Linked DNA regions of Diceros bicornis minor. The protein of the gene in region 2 interacts with the protein of the main gene of each other region in a biochemical or structural test. Links are inferred from orthologs where the notes say so. Each region holds a gene or a part of one and is shown on either strand. Other genes may lie near its edges.

Region 1 (6,991 bases), on a different chromosome or scaffold from region 2:
TAACAAATGCTTCTCTGTATGTCAAAATGGGGCCAGATCAAAATCCAGTAGGTCTGATTCACTGTGGCTCATCTGATGAACAGCCACAAGTCATAACAAAACAAGAGCTGCAAGTATTCAGGTTGCTTCAGGAAAATTTTTCATCCAACCTTCCCACTTCATCTACAGCTGTAATATAGAGGTTCTATAGTGCCATTTTGTATAAGTTCTGAAAAATATCAGATGTATGTGAAAAAGTCATATATATGACATTACGACTTAAAAACACAAAACAACAAAGTTAAAAACAAAACCAACAAATCCCTACGTTCTTTATTTTTAAATTTTTATAAATGAGGACTTAAGTTATTATCAACATCTATTAAAATCTCTTTATATGCTAGGCTATGAGTGTATTTTGGGGGAAAAAAGAGGTCACAGTCCTTGTTTATAAGAAGTTTACAAGCTATTAATATATGTAGTTTGATCATTAGGGATAGCCAATCCAAGTAAAATTGGGGGCTAAATTATTCAAATTAGCTACTCATGTTGATCAAATTTTAGTAGATGGAAAAATCTCCACTTCCCTTGTGCGGGGTAGACCTACCCTGCCAGCCCTGATAACTACTATCCATTTCCCCTACAAATATCCAAATCATCCTGTTACAGTGCGATTAGCATACACATGCTGACGTGTTCCTGGATTGCTTACTCTGGCAGAGTTAATTTAACTTCTGCTTTGCAACTTCAGTGTAATCAGAAATTCTGTAGGAACTTGAGTATTTTTGAGCTTTCCATTTTGCTTTTTTTAAATACACAGCTTCCTTCTCTGTCCCCAAAACTTGTCAGAAAACAGGGAAAGTAACAGTTTATGAAAATGATAAAAGAATGCGATATACCTCTCTATTCACATTTCTAACGGTTTGATTAACCAAATATGAGCCGTCTGGACCTAACTTTTCCCTCAAAATTTAAATTTATTTGCCATTTTTCCATGTATGGCTCAAAATCTGTTACTGACTCAACTTGAACTCTGGGAAATGAATTCTCATGAAGTGGGACTGAGGCATACCCCAGTTCTTGTTCAAATGGGGAAAGAACCTCTTGTTCCCAACATTTTTAGTGGACTCAGGGAATTGACCTTCCTACCCACCGGGCCTTGGTTATAAGTACTTGTCTGGGACACTTGCTCTAGTAATTGTGTGTGTCAAGGGAAAATGACCTCAGGACGTAGAAACTGTGAAGAATTACAGTAACCCCACAGTGAGTCTCAGCCTTCTCCATTCCTGCTTTTTTGACCTCAAAAAATATAAACAAAACAGAAACCCGCAAGCTCTAATCTGCCAGCAACCACTAAGATCAGGTATCTTGGGGTTTGAAAGCCTACGACTTCCTGCAGTCCAATTCGGGTGTTAGTTATTTGCTCCTAGTAATCAACCCACCGAGCAGTTTACGTTTGACGTCTTCTGAGGCCCGGCTTCTTGGGCGTCTGCTCCACTGAGCCCGCGTTCGGGGAACCGTCTGAAACATTTTCTTCTGTTCTGTTGGCTCTTTTGTTTTGAGGAGAGGAATCTAAGGGCAAGAAGGAATTTTAAAAAGAACACACACAATCTTTATTAGAAAAAAAACAATGGCTGACAGAAGTTGGCACAATAGTCAGGGCATGAAAAACCCACCACCTCCACCCACAATCCTGGATCCGTCGTTCCCAGGGGCCTTGCAGGGCACAAAACGAGGTTGTTTTCACATAACAGAAAGTGTCTTCTACGCCCCAAAGCTTTTTGCTCTCCATAGCGAAGGGGAGGCCGTTGATAAACATCCCATCGTTGTCACATACCTACCCCTGGCTAGCCAGGGGGGACTGCGATGGTTTCAGTTAGAGAAATGATCAGATAAGGCAATCTCAGGCTTCTGACTTAATCGTAAACAGACCAGCAGTCAGCTAGACAGCATTGAAAACCTAAGATTAGGAAAGTTCGCTCCCCAAAAGCTACATCAGAATACGCTGAAAAGAAAGCCGAGGTGAAGACCCTCGAGCAGGCAGAGCGGTGCCCCGGACAGACAGACATTTAGGCGTTTGCAGGGTCTTTACCGTCGGCGGCAGGCCGCTTCCTGATCCCAGTGCACGGCTCCGCTAAGCCCGTCGGGCTGTCGGACGCGTCAGTCTTTGGGTCTACCAAATGCGTGTCCTCTGAGTTTGCCTGAGACCCGATTAAAGGCACCGCCTGGCGGTTCGCGCTGACATCCTGGCTCTCCTGCGCCGGCACCTTGCAGGCGCCTTTGGGTGGCCGCGGGGGTCTGTAGTAGAACTCGGGCAAGCTACCCTTTTCCACCTCCTGCCACTCGTATTTGCCCTCCAGGGGCTTGTGATTCTGGAAATCAAAATTCCACTTGCGCTGGCTGGCCTCTTCCATGTCTCGGCAGTGCTTCTCCAAGTCCCGGGTCAACTCCTCGTGATTCACCGGGCCGAAGAGGTTTCTGCAGGCGGACGGCTTGGGGTACTCCGCCTGTCGGGCGTCCATCCGCTCCAGGCTCGGGCTCCCGTTAGACACTCGCACGTTTGACATCTTCCTCCCGGGTCTTGACGCCCGCCGCTCTCGGGAAACACAACCGAACAAAACAAGACGCCCCGACCCGGCCCGGACCCCTCTTACGAGCCCCGCGACTGCCCTCGGAGCGGAGAGCAACAAACACCCCCGAGAGAGCGCCCGAGCGTCAGGAGCGCGCCGGGCTGGGGGAGGGGGCGAGGGGGAGCCCCGGCCAGGCAGCCGCGAGCGGCCGCCGCTCAAGCGGACGGGCGAGCGGGAGGGCGGGGAGCGCAGCGGCGCGGAGGGGGCGGCAGAGCCAGTCCGGGTCCGGGCCGCTGCAAGCCCGCGGGTCCCGCGCCCCGAGCGCCTGTCCAAACCTTGCCGGCGTCCGAGTCGTGGAGCGGCGAGAACGTGGGGAGCAGGGAGGGGGAGAAAAACACCCCGAAAAGACGAGCCCCCTTTTTTTAGTTGCCCAATATGGCGGTTGAAGGGAGGCTGACGAAGAAGAAAATGATTGACACCGCAAGTCTATTTAAACAGAGGAGGAGATCCATTGGTTGCGGCGCCGGGAGCCGCGCCCCGACGAGGCTGGCGAGCGCGGCCTTAAGGTGGCCCCGGCGCGGTTCGGCCGCCTCCCCGCCTCCCCGCGCGCCGACTCCGAGAGCGCCGGCCGGAGATTGGCTGGTCGCGTGATTGCTGGAGGTGTACCGCTGCCAACAAACCTGCTCTGGCTGGCCTCGGCGAAATTAAAAATGAGACAAACAAACTAGCCAAACGGCCGGGAAGCTGGGGAGGGGCCTGGGCGGCGGGGCCGGTGGGGCCTTGGGTTCTAGTCCCGGCGCTGCGCTGCCTGGCGCGCGGCCGCTCGGAAGCCCCGACCTCCCGCTCCTCGCCCGGGAAATGAAGGGGCTGGACCAGATGATTCCGAAGCTTTTCCCCGCGCTCGCCGAGCTGGGAGTGCGGGCAGACGCTGGGAGCTCTGCCCCCAGCTGGGCTCTCAGCCGTGGCCCCAACCTCTGGCACTGGGGGGGAGGCAGGGAACATTCCCTGAGGGGCTGGGAGCCCCCTGCCTGGGTGACTTGGCTGGGGATGAGCAGTGGTGAGCTCCCCCTTAACCTAGAAGTCGCAGCTGTTCTAGGGGAGGCAGGGGGCTTAGGGAAGAAGCCTAGGCGAACGGCTTTCTATAAATTAGCCTGGAGTAGGCGCAGCATTTATAATGTATTCTAAACCCAAGCTCTCCCTCAATAAAAATAAGAAGGGAGTTCAAAATCAAAACCTGGTCTCCCAAGTCCCGTAGCCGTCTCAGACACATTGAGTTTTCAAAACGAGGTTACACCCCTGGCCCGGCTTCTTGCTTCCCGAGCACAGTGAAGGCCGTTGACATGGGCTGCGTGTGGGAACTCGTCTCCTCTTTGTATGTTTCAATTCTTTCCCGAGTTGTAGCAGTTTCCTCTACCTGAGTCCTGCCGCCAAATACAACAGCTCCTTCCTTCCTCTACCTTTCTCTCCCCCCAGACTCGCTGCTTTAACCCACCCAGAACAACATTCAGATGCAAGTGAGTGCTTTTCGAGGCCTCCAAGTCGTTGAAGGGTGAAAACAATCTGCAACTCCAGATTATGAAGTGATTTATAAAATCACCACACCATGTCCTCACTTCTGATATTATTATGTGGGCATTTCTCTGCTCCCCTTTGCAACTTGAAATTTACCTGTCCATATGATCTTGAGCACGGTGGTGGAAGTTAAAACGGGATGGTCAGGGCTATGATATCTGAGACAGAGCTCAAAGGGTCTTTAACTGCCTCCCCACCCCATCCCCAATACATACAATCTTGGTTTGGGCCCAGGTTAATACATTTTACTGGAAAGTAATCTCCTGCAGTTCTAATAGTACACAGCAACAATGTTTTCTTGTGCATCTGTGCTACACATGAGTTTGATTTTTAACTTGTTTTCTTCACCACATGTTTGTCCACTCTCTGTGCCTGCCTCACCTCATACTCTCCAGAAGGTAAGAGCTGGGAGGGGCCCTGGGAACCCTGTGGTTCAACCCTCTCTTTTTGCCACTGAGGAAATTGAGACTCAGAGAGGCTTCCTAGCCAGGGACACATATCCAGTTGGTAGCACCGCCAGGACTAGACACAGGTCTCCTAACTCTCAGGCTGGTTCATTTTCTGTTCCTTTCCTTCCTGATGGCCCCAATGGGTTCAGGTTTTTGTCTGGATTCGCCTGTGCTGTCCTCTGCAAGTCCTCCTCTCTTATAAATGATTCAAAATGGCTCCTTCTCCTGCCCTGGGCTGCCTGCACATGTCTCCTTGATATGGCCTGTGGTCACTGATGTTTAAAGGCAGCTGTCTCCAGCCTTTGGTATCACTATACACTAGTTAAACTAAAATGCAGATTCCAGGATGAGGTGATAGCCAGAGAGCAGTGAGGGAGGCAGTGCCCAAAACATGTTTCAAAGTCAGGACTTCCTACCTGACCAATAGAAAATATTTCACCTGCGATCAGAGTAAGATGTCTCATCTTAATTTTTCTACATTTAATGCCCCACTTAATTTACTGGATTGGAGAAGAGGGGGAGAGGAACAGGAAAATTAGTGTAGGCCTCAATACCATAATTTATACCCTATTCCTGAAATTTGATCATTGTTGAAATTTTTACATAAGTCCTAGACTACACAGGAATTCTATGTTATACATAAGCATAAATTCACAGTCATAAATACACAAACTACCATGTAAATGGAGATATTCTAGAGTATTACACCTTGTCACAAAAGTTTGATTTTATTCATGGAATTAATATCTTACATAAAAGTAGAAAATTAGTACTTCTATCCCCTACACACCCTGACTCTTTCTTCAACTGGTGTGTAGGAGCACCATTTTGTTGCTTTGTTAAATCTTGAAAAGTGGAGCACGCCACCTTAAGACGTCTGGCTGCCGGCTGAAAGGCTGTGCTTACATCGACCTTGCTATGATCTAAAGTGTTTTGTTTACAGTCAAGACACCGGAGATCTGTACAGCAAATAATGAGAAGGCAGGCGTCTGCTGTAGTAGCAACGAAGCGTGAAAAAAATACTATGGAGTCCCCGAGGGAAGAGGGAACGCGGAGATCAGAGCGCCATCCTCCTGCGGAAAGTAGGCGGCTGCAAAAGAGTAAGCCAGGGAGAAAAATTGCAGATAAACAGTGTGAAGGCGGAGCTTCGGTAGAAGACAGAACGTTCCACTTGCCCTGCTCTAAAATGGGCTCTGCTTCCCCAAGACTCAGAATCTAGTCCTGGGTGATGTTTTCGTTGTCGTTTTCACTCCTGGTAGTTTCCTGCTGAGAGCTGAGAAGTGTCACATAAGACACCCAAGATTTCTGTGTTCTTCACAAGCTGGGGAGATAGGCAAAGACCAAAATAATTTAAAAGAAAACACCTGTGTGGTAGACAAGTGTCCGAATGGAGTGGCTGGGCAAGCCCGCCCCTCAGATGCAGTCGGCGGGTGGGGGGTGCGGGGAGGGAGTTATACAGCCCCTAATGTTTCTGCACAGGTACACACTTCCTTGCCCAGTTGCCCCTCCCACCACAAGCACACAATTTTAATCCTTCCTTGAGGATGTTTATAACGAGGCAGCTTCTCTCAATTTCACTATTCTCCTAAACCGACATATTTTTAGAGTTTGGAAATTTCACAGTCATCTGTTTTTGACAGCTTTCACTCAGTTTAATAAATATTTATTGAGTACCCTCTATTAACTTGCTTATTCTTTGTTTCTTTCAACAAATATTTATTGAGTGTCTTCAATATCCCAGGCTCTGGGGATTCAGAAGTAAACAGATTTAAAACTGGGAAGAAGCTTACATTCTCGTGGGGGGAGGGGAGACAGAAAATAAACACAGTAATACATGAGTAAAAGATACACTATGTAAGGAGGTGATACATGCTGTGGAGAAACAACAAACAGGAGAGAGGGAAAGAGACTGTTTCCAGGTCCCAATGTGAACAGAGAGGTCAGGGAGCGCCTCACTGAGAAAGCGACCTTGGAGAGCAGCCCTGAGGACTTGAGAAAGTGAGCCATGTGGATATCTGGGGAAAGAGTATCTCAATAAAGGGAACAGCAAATTCAAAAGCTCTGAAGTGAGATCTTGTCTGATGTACTCAAGGAACAGCAAGGAGCAAGGGGAGAGTGGTAGCAGGAACATCAGATCATACAAGACAATGTAGGCCACTGTACGGGTTTTATCACTGACTGAGTGACACTAGGAGGTGTTGCCCAGTGGCTTGATGTGATCTTACCATGTGTAAAGCATTCCCCAAGGCATTCTCAGTGGGGAGTGAAAGGACGACTAAGTCACAGTCCCTGCCTTTAGGGAATATAGACCCTAGATGGAGAGACAACCACATGCACAAAAAAACCACAGAAGTAGAAAGTAATCCATGGAAGAACATGGTACAATGATGGAGTACAAAGCAGGGAGAAAGAGAAAGCCTT
Region 2 (7,897 bases):
CTAAATAAACGATTGATTTATTGATTTATGATAAAAGCCCGAGTTCTGGGCTCGTCTGTTACGCAGCAGTGGTAGCCGGAAAATTAACAAAGCTGCCCTTCAGTAAGTGTTCGCGGTTAGTACTAGAGTATGTCACCAGCCCACGCGCGGGAACGCGCCCGAAGCATCAGCATCTGTGGCCTCGGGCCGGGGACCGCACATCCAGGAAGCAGCAGGGGACAGATGTGGGTGAGGCCGGGTGGACCTTCTGCGTTAGTCCCGAACTGTCCCCGAGGCCAGGACAGGACTCACGGCCCGGGCACCCTCTGGTCAGCTCTGTGGTCCCCGGGCGACCCCTGCCTCCCGGTCATCAGAACCAGGCAGGGCACTGTGCAGTGGGTGTTGCTGGTGCCACCACATCCTCATCGCAGGTCGCGGCTGCCCCTCGAGGGAGGAGGAGCCACACAGCCCAGGAGGGTCCATGCCTCCTTCCGGGGCAGACGTCCCCGGTGAGTGACACCGGGGGCACCAGAGCCGGCCCCGTCGCCTCAGGTGGAGCTGTCGGGGGGCAGCTCACGCTCCAGCCCCCCATCAGGCTGAGGGGACCCCAGCCGGGACCACCTCCCTGCCTTGTCCAGCTCCCCTCACCGTCGCCGAGTCACCGCCACGCCCGGTCGCGGGTCCGGAAGCCCCCTGTTGTCATGATCCCCACGTGACCTCTGCCGGCGCAGCCCCGGGAAGCCGCCCCCTCCTCCTCGCCTGGCCTCGCAGCAGCGTGGACCATGGAACCTCCCGCTTCTGGGAACACCCACTTCCCCGTCCCCCACCGGCCCCATCTCGCGGTGGTCCCTCTGCTGCCCCCGAAGGCTCCTCCTCTTCCCAGCTCCCCAGGGAGGGCGTCCCCTGGCTCCGTCTGGGGCCTCTCCTGTCCTCACCTCGTGCATCCTCATCCCCTGGCCTCTCTCCAGGCCCTCGGCTTCAGTTACGGCCCCGGGGGCGCCAAGGCGTCTCACATTCATCTCTCAGGCCCGGCCCCACTCTGCTCCAGCCTGCGAGAGCCAATCGCCTGCTGGGCGTCTCCTCGGGCACATCTCAAGTGCATCCCAGGCCTGCCACGTCGGGGACAGAGCCTCTGGTCAGCCTCCCTGATCCCGGGGCTCCTCTGGGTGTCTGGTCTCTGAGGAAGCCCCCAGTCCGCCCAGACACCGAGGTGGAGATGGGGGGGCTGGGCTGAATGCCCCCCGACCCTCAGCTGGCGGTGCTCTGCATCCTGTCGGTTGCGCCTCAACTCCATCCTGCCTGCTCCTCCTCTGAACTGGTCCAGCCTGCATCCTCATCCACCTGGGCGACCCCACCAGCCAATAGGAGTGCTCCCGGCACCCTGGCCCCAGTGATTGGTTCAGGAACAGCATGTGACTCCCGGCTGGCCAATGAGACGCAGCCCTGGGATTTTTTTCTGGGGTGGCTGAGCTGGGAGGACCCGGGCCCGGATTCTGGAGCCATCTTGTCACCACGAGGCCTGCAAACAAAGCCAACACTCAGGAAAGCTGAGCCAAGAGACTTCCCAGCTACTTTTCTGGCCTCTGTCCCCTCACTCTGCCCCAGGCACGCTGGTCTCTAGCTGGTCCGGCTTGGCCCTGCCTCAGGGCCTTTGCACGTGCTGTTCCCTCTCCCTGTGACACTGTTCCTCCAGACCCACGTGGCTCACTTCCTCACTGCATTCTAGTTTCTGCTCAGATGCCACCTCCTGACCACCCACTCAAAATAACCCTCCTGTGCCACCCCCGTTGCTAACACCTACCATGCTGTATTTTTCTTCATAGTAATTATTGCTATCAGAAATTGCTGTTTATTCATCAGCTTGTTTACAGCCTCCCCGAGGACAGGGATTTCTGCTCCTTTTGTTCACTGCTGTGTCCTCAGTGCCTAGATTTGTGCTTGGAAGGCCATGAGTGAGTGAATGACTTAATGACTGAATCAATTTTCCAGAGGAGGAATCTGAAGCCCATAGAGATAAGTGTATTCAATTCCTATGGGTGTTGTCAAAAGTTACCACAAAGTTAGTGACTTAAAGAACACGAGTTTACTATCACAGTTCTGGGGGCAGAGTCCTAAAATCCAGGTGTGGGTAGGGCTGGTTCCCTCTGGACGTTCCAGGAGAGAATCTGTTTGTTGCCTTTTCCAGCTTCTGGAGGCGCCACATCCTGGGCTCAAGGTCCCTTCCTCCATCTCCGAAGTGCATCTCTGCCCCGTCGTCCCATCGCCTGCTCCGCCTCTGACCCTCCCGCCTCCCGTGGCATTACACAGGTCCACTTGGATAACCAGGGTACTCTCCCCATCTCGAGGTTCTTAATCTCATCTGCAAAGTTCCTTTAGCCACGTGAGGCAGCGTACCCACAGGCTCCAGGATTAGGACGTGGCGTCTGGGGGGGCCCTTATTCTCCACCACAATAAGTAACAGATGGCACAGCCAGGGAGAGGCAGAGCTGGCTTTGGAGCCGGTTCTGTAGCATCCAAAGCACACCGGCCCCGTAGCCTTTGTCTTCGACTCCACGTCCCTCTCCCCTCAAGGGGCCACATTCTCTCCTGTGCATCCCTTTTTACTTCACCCCCGCAGCCCCTCCGCCTCGTGAGATCATGTGTTTCTTCCCAACAGGCATAATTGCAGTAAAAACACTATCGTCTCTGTCTCTATAACATTCTCAGTATCTATGCCGAGAGCTTTTCAAATATTATTTCATGAAACCCATTTTACAGATAAACTGAGACTTGCTTTAGCATTTGAGGACCGTTTTCAAGGTCACAGCCGAACTCAGATTTGAATGCAGGCCTCTTCTGTGGCACATGGTGGAAGGCCCAACTCAAACTGGCTTCATAAGAAAAGAATTTATCAGCTTGCATCATTGGCACATTCAGTGGAGGTCAGGCATGGCTGGATCCAGGAGCACAAACAGGGTTATCAGCCTTTCTGGTCAGTCGAGTCAGCTTTCCTGAGTGTCAACTTTGTTCACAGGCCTTGTGGTGATGAGATGGCCCCATAACTCCAGGCCCAGGTCCAACCAGCTCAGCCACCCCAGCTCGGTGTTCCCAGAAAAAGTCCCAGGGATGGCTGAGTCATGCTGTTACTGAACCAACCGCTGCAGCCAGGGGGCCTGGGGAACTCTGATTGGATGACCCATCCCTGCAGCCAGGCTTGGGGGTCAGTCCAATTCCAACCCTACAGACTAAGAGTGAGGATCCCCCCCCAAGGGAAAACCGAGGTGCTGTGGCCAGAAAACAGGTAGGCAGAGACCCCAGATGTCCACCACCCCGGGGACATTTCCGAGCCTGAGGAGCAGGCTTTCCTGGAGGACGAGGCCCCACGTGGGACCAGCTGGAGAGGCCATAAACCCGGTTTACATCTCCAGTTCCACCCCACCCACGCAACAACCCCCCTGGGATGTGGGGTGCTGTAGGAAAGATCTCAGGAAACCTCTCTGGAAGAGTCATGATTAATCATTATTATTCATCGACGAGCTGCCACATGCCAACGCTGTGACACTGGCGCCATGGGTGAGATGAGGGTCAGAGACACCTGAACATCTGGCAAAGGGCACACAGCCCACCTTACAGAGGACGGACCACTTCAGGTCCCTGGGGTGCAGGGCAGAGGGCCAAGAGATGAGGCCCAGCTCCCCTTTATGGATCAGAAAGCCAGGGTCCCGGCCCTGGGCAGCCATTGGAAGCTGCTGCTCTGCCCAGGGCTGGCTCAGACTCCTCCGTCCCTCCCACCGCTGACATTGTTTTCCTTCCCCCACACGGGGTCGCCTGGCTGTCCCCAGCTAGACGAGGCCAGGGGCCAGGCGTTGGGGCACCTGGGGGAGGGAGTCAGCTCAGCCCAGCCCAGGTGTTGCAGCTGTTGGCTGCCCGGGACACCTGCCAGCACCAGGGCCACGCCCACCCTCCTGGGGAGCCGTCACCTGCAGATGGGAGGGATGGAGGCCAGGTGGCCACGCCCACCCTCCTGACCTAAAGTACTAGCGCGGTGGGGGGGGTGTCTGGGACCACCCTCAGCCAGGTCAGAGCTCAGGCGGATCCGGTGAAGCCCAGGGTCAGGGCTAGCTGGGGTCAAAGGTCAGCCTGAGATCAGGGCGCAGCCCGGGTCAGGCTCAGCCTGGGCGTTCGGCCGGGATGGGGGCTGAACGGACGCCGAACGGGGAGGAGGACTAATTTCCAGTTTCTCGGGGAAGCAGCGTCAATCTCCTGGGATTCCAGTTCGTCGAGGTGAATCAAGTCGAGGGGTAACTTTGGGGTTTCCCCGCTGACCCTCGGGTCCCGCCGAGCTCCGCCCCTCCGAGGGGAAACCGAGGTACCGCCCGTGCAGGACGCCGTCTGCGGGCCGGGCCTCCCCGCAGCGGCCCGGCTTCCTGTCTGCCCGCCCAGAGCGGCCGGCGGGGACCCACGGGGAAACTGAGGCTCGGGCAGCGGGGTCCGGCCGCCCCGGCCCTTCCCTCCGCCCCGCCCCGGCCGGCCCCGGCCTGCCCCGCCCCGCGTGGGGACGTCACAAAAAAGGCCCCCAAGGCCGGGCGGGCCGGGGGTCTCAGCCCAGCTCCGCCGCCTCCCCGCGCACAGGTCCGTAGTCGTCCGCCCGGGCAGCAGCGGCCTCCGGGGGTCGGAAGCGCAAGGCGCCTGCGCACTCGGCCCCTGCTCCTGCGGCCGCTCTCGCGTGCGCGGGGCGGGACTCCACTTCCCGGCGTGCCCCGCGAGTGGGCACGCAGGCGCGGTCGGGGCCTGGGTTGGCGGCGCGCAGGCGTGGTCGGGACCCGGCGGCGGGGACGCGCAGGCGCGGGCGGGCGCGGGGTCGCGCAGGCGCAGCGGGGCGGGGCGCGGGCCAAGGGAGCGCCGGGCGGCGGCGGCGCCAGAGCGGGTGGAGCGCTCCGGGGCCCCGGGCGGCGGCGGCGGAGAGGAGGAGGAAGGCGGCCCCGGCCCCGGCCCGTCCCGCGCCCCCGACGCGGCCCCGGGCCCGTCCGCCGCCATGGCCCGGCCGCTGGTGCCCAGCTCGCAGAAGGCGCTGCTGCTGGAGCTGAAGGGGCTGCAGGAGGAGCCGGTGGAGGGCTTCCGCGTGACGCTGGTGGACGAGGGCGACCTGTACAACTGGGAAGTGGCCATCTTCGGGCCGCCCAACACCTACTACGAGGGCGGCTACTTCAAGGTGCGCGGCCGCCGGACTCGGCCCCCCTCCTACCCAGGCCCCGGACCCTTCTCTCCCTTCGCCCGACCCTCCTCCCCCGGCCCCGGATCCTCCTCCTCCTGCCCCGGCCCCGGCCCCTCTTTCTCGTTCCCCTGCCCCGGCCCCCGTCTCCTGGTCCTCCTCCTGCCCCTGCGCCTCCTCGCCCGGCCCCCTTCCTCTTCTGCCCTGGATCCTCCTCCCCCGACCCAAAATCCTCCTCCTCCCCTGGCTCCGGACCCTTGTCCTCCTCCCCCTGCCCCCGACCCCCCTGCCCCGACCCCGGATCCTCCTCCTCCTGCCCGGGTCCCGGACCCTCCTTCCCCGGCCCCGGACCCTCTTCCTCCTCCCCCTTCCCCTGTCCCCCTCTCCTGCCCCCGTTCCTCCTCCCCCTGCCCCGGACCCTCCTCCCCCGACCCCGGATCCTCCTCCTCCCCCGGTCCCGGTCCCCCTCTCCTACCTCCGTTCCTCCACCCCCGGGCTCCCTCCTGCTCCTGTCCCTCCTGCCCCTGCCCCCGCCCCCCTCCTCTCCTGCCTTGGTCGCTCCTGTCCCTGCCCCCAACCCTCCTGCCCCGACCCTGGATCCTCCTCCTCCCCCGGCCCCAGCCCCTCTTTCTCCTCCCTCAGCCCCAGATCCTCCTCCCTTCCTCTGCCCTGGACCCCCTCTTCCCTCCTGTCGGGGCGACCCCTCCCTTTTCTCGGGACCGAACTGTCCTTTTTCTCTTGAGGTGACTGTCCCTCGGTCCCATCCCTCTTTCACCGGCCCCAGATTCCCTCCTCCCTTGGCCAGACCCCCCTACCTCAGCCAGACTCCCCTTTCCTCAGCTGCATCGCGTTCTCCCTCCCTCTTTTGGCTGGACCTCCTCCTTCCTCAGCTGGACCTTCCTCCTTTCTCTGCCAGATTCCCTCCTCCCCCGGCAGGGCCCTCCCCACCTCAGTCAGGCTGGGGGACCCCTTGGTGTCCCCTGACGTCCGGCCCCAGGAGTCCCCGAGAACCGGGTTCCCTTGAAGGCCGCTTCAGGCCCCCAGAGAGGAGGCCGGAGCCCCCTGTTTGTTGGATGCGGGGTTTTGCTTCCCTTCTCGCTGGGAGGCTGGGCCCGGTGCCCCGTCTCTCCGACCTGGCTAGCCTTGCAGGGAGGGAAAGGGAGCCGTGGCCCACCCGGCCGCCAACTGCCCCCCTGGCCTGCCTGGAGGACAAAGGGAGCTCCCCAGAGGCGGGAGCACTGTGGGGGCCGCAGCTTTGGGGAGGAAGGAGGGAGGGAGCGAGGCCAGTGTGGGGTGACTGCCTGGCCACTTGCTCGAGCTCCCACAAAGTGGCAGCAGGACGCGCTTGGAGAGCGGCCCCCCGGCTGAAAGCAGGGCCCAGGCCCTCTGCTTGATCACTGGGCTATGTAACGTGTCTCTTTTGGGGGGGTGGAGGCCGCCCCTCCATCCTCCGCCCTGTGCCTGCAGCCAGCGCAGAGTGCGCCCCCAGGCCCCAGCTCCTGCCAGCACCCCGGTCCTGGCTGCTGAAGCTGCGCTCCTCTCGCCCTAACGGGCCTTTCCTGGGTTCCACAGAGCAGGTGGCTCCTTGGGGCCCGAGTCTCACACTCTGGGTCCTCTCCACTGTCCTCTGCGGTGTCTTAATTCCTAGGGGTTCCCTGTTGTTGGGCAAGTGCTTCCCAGGCAGGCTGTACTTCTGTCTGGAGTGAGAAGGGACTCGGGCCCAGATCTGGGCAGCGTTCTTGGTCTAATGGTCTGAGCCCAGCCATGGCCTTGGAGCGACCCCGCTCATGTGGAAGCACTCTGCTCTTTGAGCCTGAGGGACAACGCGGGGGTCTTAATGTGCGCCAGGTGGGGAGTGAGCCCTCAGCGCAGGAACCCCCTGTCACGGCTGGCCAGGAGCCCCACACTGCCCTGCCAGGTCCTGCCAGGTCTTGCTTGGCTGGAGGCCTGGGTGGGGAGCAGAAACCACAGCCCGGCCTGCTGCAGGGCGGGGCGGGTGCTGCTGGGTAGATGTCTATGTTTGCACTTTGGGCTAATGGAGCAGCCTGGTCTGCTGGCGTGATCCCTGAGTCGAGGTTCCCTCGTGCTGGGTGGGATGAGGGGACGAGTGTGGACCGCCCTGGGCCAAATTCTGTGTCTGCCACCTGGCCTCCCCATGCAGGCAGCGGATTTGGTCACTGGTGTAACCAGTGCCCTCCTCAGCCTCTCTTGTGTGCTTCGGGACAGCTGGCTGTGAGGATGAGGGTTCAGAGCTGGGATAACGGGGTCACCCCCTGAGGCCAGGCCAGGTCTCCGAGCAAGGTTGCCTGTCTGGGAGGAGAGGACGTGGGTCTCTGGCTATTGCCCAGTAACTGGTTGCAAGGGGTTGTGGGTAGAACTGCCAGGTTAGCGATGGGAGTCATGCTGTTGCTCTAGAGAAGACTGGAGGCTTCATTTCGTCTGCCGTAGGGTCTGTCCTCAGAGAAGCCAGCGTGAGACTCAGCGTGGTTCTGCTGCCGACTGGGCCCTCCTGTCCACGTGCGGGTGTGTGGGGGTGGGGAAGACTCTCTTCGCAGGAGATGTGGAAATACAGGGAGTGGGAAGTGCCCATGGGCCTCCATGGGTCACTTCCGCCTTCCTCTCGGCCAGCCCGGCTGCACCCACTTCTCCTTTGCGAGTCATAGACGGGCCCCTGGGAAGTGCGGTGTGTGAGGGGGCTGCCGGGGAGACCTGGGTTCCAGAGCCCCT
Region 3 (8,012 bases), on a different chromosome or scaffold from region 2:
TTTCATATTTGTTTATCTTCTCTCTTCCCCACGCTCACCATTAGAACTTAAGTTTCATAAGACCAGGTATCTCGTCTGTCTAGTTCAAAACTCTATCTCCAGCACTTGGCAAATAAAAGTATTTGTGGAATAAATGCAACCAACAAACATTAGCTGGGAAGATCAAGATGAGACTGAAATCAGGGCTACCTATTCGATGTCCTTACAGGACAGTTAGCTTACGTTGGTTCCAAAATACTAGACCCATGTCCTCAATGAATATTCATAATCACAAAGAGTTAGATGAGTATATGTAGACGACTGAGGACAAACTCATCCCTCCTACGGACAGGTTCAAGTTCACCCTTCTTACTGACGGTCAGTTATGATGTCTTTTTTATGGAAGACAGCACAAATCCAAAAACCCATTGCTAAACAAGCTAAGAGCTCAAATTAGCCTGAAGCAATGAACTCCCATCCCTTCTGCATCACAGATCATCTGAGCTTGAAAAAATAACCATCATTTCATCACATAGCAGTGAGGATTAATTAACAAACCACTGTAGAACATTTTATAGGACATTTATACTCAGCAATGCTGACTTCATTAACTTTTTGAGAGGTTAACAAAGGACGAGTCCTTTGAAAATAATATTCTGTTTATTCTCTCTTACAATGCTGCATTTTCAAAAGTGCTCGAAATAATTCATTTATGTTTTTCTCTCACATGTAAATACGTTTTGTCTTACCAACTAAAGTGTCTTTGGATAGAGAAATTACTAAAGTTTTAGAAAATACTCCTGCTTATTAGAAAATAAGTAGCTATGCTTCTGTCTTCAAATGCTTTGATAAGTGTTGAAAATCTGCCAGCTGCCCAGAAAAACACCATCCCAACTTCGGGAGAAAAAAAGAAAGACACCTCAAATGAACTATGTGTTTATGGATCATCTGTCAAAGCAAAAGGTTCTTTTTAATGGTATCCAGTACAATGTTCGTTCAAATATCTAACTTATAGAAAACACAAAGAATTGTCTGCTTAATAAAAACGTCGGCCTTCCCTCCCCCTTTAGAAAAAAGGAAGGGCTATTTCTAAAGTAATATATGGTTTTCCAGGAAAGGGGTTAAAAAATGATTCTGTTTTCTGAAATAGTGAAAAAAGTTCATCGGGAAAAGTATCCTAGAAATTTCAAGACTTTTAACAATATTTTATGGCTATCCCAGATCCACTTGCTCAGCAAAGACACTCGAAAAATAATAATGTCATATAAACACATTTTAAAACTGCCAATTTATTCTAAAATGAACATATTTTCAGAGAAATGAATTTACTTTCACAAGCTGAAGCTTACATTCCTTCCAGTTAACCATTCTCCACCGTAAAAACAAACCTGAAAGAGAAACTAACTTGAGCTCTTGGGTAAACAAAGAGTCATATTGGGTTTCACATCCTTTCAACACTGCCTCGCCTAATTAAAAAATAATAATAATAAAATATATACACATATATATATGAAAATACTTTAAAAAGAGAATTTTGAAAATTTGTGGTGGAGTAACGGACGCCCGCATGCAAAACACTTAGCTTTCACACAACGAAATAACAATAGGCAGGTCACTTAATATAATGTTTAAAAGGAGTTACGTCAATACATTATTTTCTGTTTTTATTTTTTAATTTAGAGAAAAACAGGCTTACTTTTAACGTAATAGTGCCTTAACCTGAAAAACGAAAGGGTGAGTTCATAATATGGCATCATTTTACTGAATTCCCTAAAAATAAAGTTTATAAAAAGAGCCAATTAACAGAGAGGTTTTCCATTGAAAAATTCACCTAAACAGCCCCAGTGAACTTTTTTTTCATTTTTTTCAGCACAAATTTCAAATTCGATAGCTGAATATTTGAAGAGGACCATCCTTACTTTTGGACGGTCTAACTTCTACTCCCAAGGTTATTATTAACAGTCCTCTACTCCCAGATTATTGTCCCCAGAAAATGCCCTCGGTGGAAACAAAGCAGCCTCATCTGCAGCCTCATAAACGAACAACAGAATTTGACGCTTTGTTTCTCAACGTCATTGCCCCCAAACTGCAAGCTCTCCAGGGTCATCACTTAAGGCCAACACTGATCTTAGTTTCAGCAAAAAAGCAACATCTCGCCCAGGAAAATTAAAAGATCTGAAACCCGCCGACACCTTAAAACTCCGCAAAGGGTGAGTCAACACCCCACGAGTTTTAGGATTATCGCAGCCTCACAGCGGTACAAATTACAGGTGGCCTCGGAAGGAGGGCCGATTTCTAACTCCTTCCAGCACTTTCCAAACTTTTCCACTGAAATACTCCGACAGCTGGAGAGGGTGAACTTAACTTAAACCCCTGAGAGCCTGGCAAGGTTTCACCCAGCCAAGCGCGTCCTCTCCAACTGGACGTTGCACAGGGCGCGAGAACTGTGCTCCTGGCCCACCCCAGGGTTCCTCGACTGCAAAGGCGGAGGGACGGCTCACCCTGGAGGGGCACGGAGCCCCCCGCCCGCCGGGCCATGTCTCCGCGGGCCGCCCCCGGCGCCCGCTCCCCGCCGGCCTGCGCGTCACAGTCCCCGGGCCCGGCCCCGCGACGCCCCGCTCTCCGCCCGCCTCACGTGACGGCCCGGGGAGTGCCCGCGCCACCCGCCTCCCCCGGGGCCCCGCCGCGGCCGCCCACCTGTACCCCGAAGCGGGCAGCAGGGCCTGGCTCAGGTGCGCGCGCAGCTGCCCCAGCGTCGGCTCCGCTTCGGGCATCTCCAGCGGCCAGGTCCGCTTCTGAAGCCGCACCCGCAGCTTCATGGCGGCGGCGGCGGCAGCGGGAGGGCCCCGGGGCCTGGACCTGGAGGCGGCGACGGGGACCACGGCGCCGCCGGGCAGCTCCCGCCTCAAGAGGCGGCGGCGGCGACCCCGAAGCGGCGACTACCGGAGCTGTGGGGGTGCTGAGCTGTCACCGGCAGAAGGCCACACTACGGCGGCCGGCCTGCTAGCGGGTCTCTGGCGCGGGAGCGCTCCGCCCCTCTCCTGAGGGCGCCCCCTGGAGCCCACCCCGCTGGCGGGCGGCGGGCGGCTGCGCCGAGCCAGGCCGCTCGGGGACTGCGATCGATGACTCGGCGCGCAACGGCGCCACCTGGGAGCGCGGGGGCGCACTGCGCAGGCGCCGAGGGGCCGCGGCTCGCCTGTGTCCCCGTCGTTCCGCCGCCGTGGCTGTGCCCGCTCCCTCCAGGTGTACCTGGAGGGCGTTAACGCTGAGAGGGATGCTGGAGACAGTACAGCTCGCCACTCCGCAAGGCCCAGGTGTGCCTGGCTCTTACCGCGTTTCCTCCGTGGCCTTAGGTTGAGCCCAGGCTCTGGTGGTTTCCTCCTATGACAGTAGCAAAATGGTAGAACAGCTTGTAGTCAGTGATCTCTGTCGGAGAGTATATCAGTAATCTGTTGCTGCATAACAATCACCCCAAAGCGTAACAGCTGAAAACAAACATTTATTGTCCCACAGGTTCTATAGGTCAGGAATTGCGGCATGGCTTGGCTGGGTCGTTCTGTCTTGGTCTCTCATCTACAGTCAAGATGTAGGCCAAGGCTGCAGTTATCTGAAGTCTTGACTCCTGCTGGCGATTCTGCTTCCAAGATGGCTCACTCACATGACTGTTGGCAGGAGGCCTCAGTTTTTCACTGCATGACCTCCCCATAGGGACCTCTTGAGTGTCCCCGTGATGTGACATCTGGCTTCCCTCAGAGCAAGCAATCCCAGAGAGAGGAAGGCAGAATCCGTAGTGTCTTTTATGATCTAGCCTCAGAAGTCACACACCATCACTTCTGTCATATTCTATTGATCACAAACCAACCCTTCAGTGTGGGAGGATCAACCCAGAGGCATGAATACCAATACACAGGAGTCATTGAGCACCATCTAGGAGACTGGCTACCACAGAGGGTCTGACAATAATGGTGATGATGACTTAGATGAGGGAGAGAGCGTCATCACCTTTCATCCTTGGATGCTAGCCATTGTCCAAATCCTTATAAAAGAGTTGAATAAAGTTTCTTCCAGTAGGTGGCAGTGCTTGCCCACATCCTGGCTTTCATTCAGTAAGGAAATGTGCTAATCACCTACTTTGTGCCAGATATTATCCTAGGTGCTGAGAACCCAAAGACTGAAAAGACATGTTCCTTCCCATGCAGAGCTTACAGTTGAGTGAGTAAACTCCTGTAGTAGAGTGTAAGAAGTGTCTTGTTTATGATATAGATAAGAACAGTCCTGGGGATCAGGGTACATAGAGAAAAGTTGCTGTGTCAATAGAGTTCTTTAGTGGCAAGCAATATGGGATCAAGGAAGGGTGGCAGGACCAGGGTGGCTCAGTGTGGCCAGAGTGAAGGACAGAGTGGGTATATCTCAGATAAACAAGAGCCTTGAGCTCAGCAAAGGATTTGGGACACATTCTAGAATGTATGCGAAGCCACTGGAGAGTTTTAAGCAGAGGAATCTTTATCAGCGTTCTTAGTTCTGAGCGCTAGAGGCTGACTCTGGCTGACTAAGCACAAAAGGAGCATATTAAAAGGATACTGGCTAGCTCAGAGTATTCTGGGGAGGACTGGAGAAGTGGCTCCAGGCTAAGCTTCCAGGAATGAAGCTCAGAACCACGCAGAAGAACTGGCCTGATAAGGAAACTACCATGACTGGGATTGCTGCTGACACCCCACCCCACAGTGGAGGAAACTGCTGTCACCGCTGCCAGGAACCACTGGGGAATGGCTTCCACCTTCAAATGCCGCACGTTTTTGCGGTCTCCTCCACCGACAAAATGCCAGGCTTCCAAAAGAGCCTATTTCCTCGTCTTGCTCTCTTCTAAATCAAAGCCTCATAAGGATGCATCTGATTGAGGGAGACCCATGCCTGAGTCCTGGCTGCCAAGAAGACTGGAATTTGGGGTCCAAACTCCTTCCTTGGGGAAGCGAGACTTATAATATTGGAATTTCCCCAAATATAGGAATGCTGTTCAAAAGAGGATAGAAAGCCGTGAGCCTGACAGGTGTATACCACAAGCAGGTGGGTCAGATCTGAAATGTGAATATATCACTGGCAGAGTGTGGGGGGATGTATTAATTAGATAAGGGTTTCTCAACCTCAGCACTATTGACATTTGGGGCCTCATGAGTCTTTGAAGTGGAGGACTATCCTGTACCTTGTAGGATGTTTAGCAGCAGTTCTAGTCTCTAGCCACAAAATGCCAGTAGAACCCGCCTCTCGGTTGTGAGAACCAAAGATGCCTTCAACCTTTGCCAAATATCCCCTAGAAGGCAAAATTGCCTTGAGAACCACTGGATTAGAGACCAGCTCAGGAGGCTTTTTTGGTAACAGAGGAAAAAGGAATTAGTGGAATGACAGTGGGAATAGAGACAACAGGATGGGCAGGGACAATGTTACAGAAGTAAAACTAAGAGAACTTGGAAAATGGCTGTATTTGGAACCATATTAGTTAGGATATAGCTTCAGCTGTTCTAACAGAGACCTAAACTAATAGTGACCTAAACAAGATATGAGTTTATTTCTCTCTGAAATAACATTTGTGGAGAAAACAGTGGAAGGCTAATATGGTGGCCATCTTTGGAGACCATCTACCACAGTCCACCTCTTAGTACTATGTAAGCCTGGGTAAGTTACTATCTATAAAAATGAAAATACTAACAAGAATATATCAGACAAGTATGTTGTAAAGCTTCAGTGAGATAATACCTTTTGTTTTGTTTTAAACCACTAAGTTTGTGGTAATTTGTTACAACAATAATAAAAAACGAATTCACCTGGGATCCTTGTTGCAACCCTTTGCCCAATAGGGTGTAAGCACTGGTATGGCAGAAGTAATCCAACCACAGGAGGGTAGGAGGGTCCTGGAAGACAACTAGAGCATTCTCAAGACACTGCCAAGATTTAAGGTACTCTGGAGGATGATCCTCCAAAACTTCAAAAGTCCATGAGAATGTTATATACTCGGTTGTCTCAACTATCTCCCTCCTTGAGAATTTTTTTTTCCTTTTTTCAGGCTGTCACCTTAATGTCTGCAAGCAATAAGCACTGCAACTTTCAAAGAGTTTGGAAATTTTAATTGCCTTTTTTTTTCAATGGGCCATTTCATAGTGTACGACAAAAGGATGATGTCACTTTTCTGTGGGTATCCGTTCATTGTCTCCCTTGAGGCTTTTTTTAATAAACTTTTAATTTTAGAACAGTTTTAGATTTATAGAATTATTATGAAAAGAGTTCCTGTTTACCACATACCTGTTTTCCCTATTATTAACATCTCAGATTAGTATGTAATTTCTCACACTTAATGAACCAATATTGATACATTTTTATTAAGTAAAGCCCATACTTTATTCAGATTTCCTCAGTTTTTTCCTCATGTCCTTTTTATTTTCCAGGATCCCATCCAGGATGCCATATTACATTAAGTCGGCATGTCTCCCTAGGCTTCTCTTGGTTGTGACAATTCCTTAGACTTTTCTTGGTTTTTTTTAATGACCTAGACAGTTTTGAGGATGACTGGTCAGGGATTTTGTAGAATGTCCCTCAGTTGGGATTTGTCTGATATTTTCTCATGATTAGACTGAAGCGATGTGCTCGTGGGAGGAATACCACAGAGGTAATGCGCCATTCTCGTCACATCACATCATATCAGCAGTACATACTATCAGTATGACTTCTTGCTGTTGGTGTTAACCTCATCACTTGGCTTCTCCACTGTTAAGTTCCGCCTTTTTTCTCCTTTTCGTACTCTGTAGCCTTTGGAAGAAAGTCACTGTGTGTAGCCAACACTTAAAGAGTAGGAGTTATGCTCCCCCTCCTTAGAGGTGCAGCATCTCCATAAATTATTTGAATTTCTTCTGCACAGGAGATTTGTCTATTTTCTATTTATTCAATCATTTATATCAGTATGAACTTATAGACACTTATTTTATACTTTGGTTTATAATCCAATACTACTACTTTTTGTTGTTGTTGCTCATCTTCTTCCAGCTTTGGCCATTGGGAGATCTTTCAGTTGACTCCTGTATCCATTTGATATCGTTATGGATTTTTATTCATTTTCTTTTTTTCTGTTGTTGAGCACTTTCTCACTTTCTGGCACTACAAGATGCTCCAGGATCATCTTGTATATATCCTGCCTCAACCCTAGAATCAGCCATTTTTCCAAGGAGCCCTAGTTCCTTTTGTTGGAGAATGGTATTAGAAATCAAGATCTGGGCGCTAGGTGTGCTCACGGCTGCTGGGGCATTGTTGCTTCTAGGCCTTCTCAGCTGACAGAGCGAGGAGACATCTATGTGTATATACATAACCATCTGTATCTGTATTAAGCAAAGCATGAGTCCATTTTGATGTTTCCAACTCTAATGCATTACCACACAGATCATTCTTGCCTCCTCCCTTGCTTATCTGCAACCTCCCAATCCAACTGTGACAAACCTGGCTCCCACCATCCACCATCCATTTGCCTAATTGTTCAATTCCAGTATACATATATTGTGGTTTCAGAATTGTTAACCCATACCCCTGTGTAAAACAACATTATCCAGTAGAGTACAGTGTTTAAACAATAGTTTCTGTTGCCTTTAGTCTTAACAAATTCCATTCATTTCCTAAGTTACATAGGTCAGCACCTTGTTTCCCCATCCTCTAAAGCAAGGTTGTTTTATATGTTTGTAATGTATTTAGATTCTTTTGTCACATTCTGCATTCCATCCTGGATCCCTCAATCTCCTAAGTGATTTTTTAAAATTTACATACGTTAAGGTTTACTCTTTGAGCTGTAAAGTTTTACGGGTTTTGACAAATGCTTAATGTCTTGTTTCACCGTTATAGCATAGTACAGAATAGTTTCACCAACCTAAAATATCTGTGCTTCAACCTCCTCCACCCCACCCCCTCACCCCTGGCAATCACAGATCTGTTTAGTTTTGCCTTTTCCAGAATGTCATATAATTGGAATCACACAGTGTGTAGCATTTTCTAGCTTCATG

What was found.
Region 1: of the proteins of CDC34 (region 2) and CDKN1B, one has a biochemical effect on the other in vitro, tested with the Homo sapiens proteins (3 studies listed by BioGRID, with this or other methods). The link is inferred for Diceros bicornis minor from reciprocal best matches to the Homo sapiens genes CDC34 and CDKN1B.
Region 3: the proteins of CDC34 (region 2) and FBXO7 form a complex in vitro, tested with the Homo sapiens proteins (2 studies listed by BioGRID, with this or other methods). The link is inferred for Diceros bicornis minor from reciprocal best matches to the Homo sapiens genes CDC34 and FBXO7.

The regions. Positions count from the first base shown.
Region 1 is NC_080756.1:48,208,230-48,215,220, forward strand, and holds the start of CDKN1B (cyclin-dependent kinase inhibitor 1B), read right to left. Parts: upstream 3,014-6,991; 5' UTR 2,547-3,013; coding exon 2,072-2,546; intron 1,552-2,071; coding exon 1,430-1,551; 3' UTR 1,422-1,429; intron 1-1,421. UniProt on the Homo sapiens protein: Important regulator of cell cycle progression. Inhibits the kinase activity of CDK2 bound to cyclin A, but has little inhibitory activity on CDK2 bound to SPDYA. Involved in G1 arrest. Potent inhibitor of cyclin E- and cyclin A-CDK2 complexes.
Region 2 is NW_026691553.1:212,580-220,476, forward strand, and holds the start of CDC34 (ubiquitin-conjugating enzyme E2 R1), read left to right. Parts: upstream 1-4,888; 5' UTR 4,889-4,993; coding exon 4,994-5,170; intron 5,171-7,897. UniProt on the Homo sapiens protein: E2 ubiquitin-conjugating enzyme that accepts ubiquitin from an E1 ubiquitin-activating protein, and catalyzes its covalent attachment to other proteins by an E3 ubiquitin-protein ligase complex. In vitro catalyzes 'Lys-48'-linked polyubiquitination.
Region 3 is NC_080764.1:16,477,827-16,485,838, forward strand, and holds the start of FBXO7 (F-box only protein 7), read right to left. Parts: upstream 3,014-8,012; 5' UTR 2,799-3,013; coding exon 2,677-2,798; intron 2,550-2,676; exon of another isoform or gene 2,518-2,549; coding exon of another isoform or gene 2,481-2,517; intron 2,445-2,480; exon of another isoform or gene 1-2,444. UniProt on the Homo sapiens protein: Substrate recognition component of a SCF (SKP1-CUL1-F-box protein) E3 ubiquitin-protein ligase complex which mediates the ubiquitination and subsequent proteasomal degradation of target proteins and plays a role in several biological processes such as cell cycle, cell proliferation, or maintenance of chromosome stability.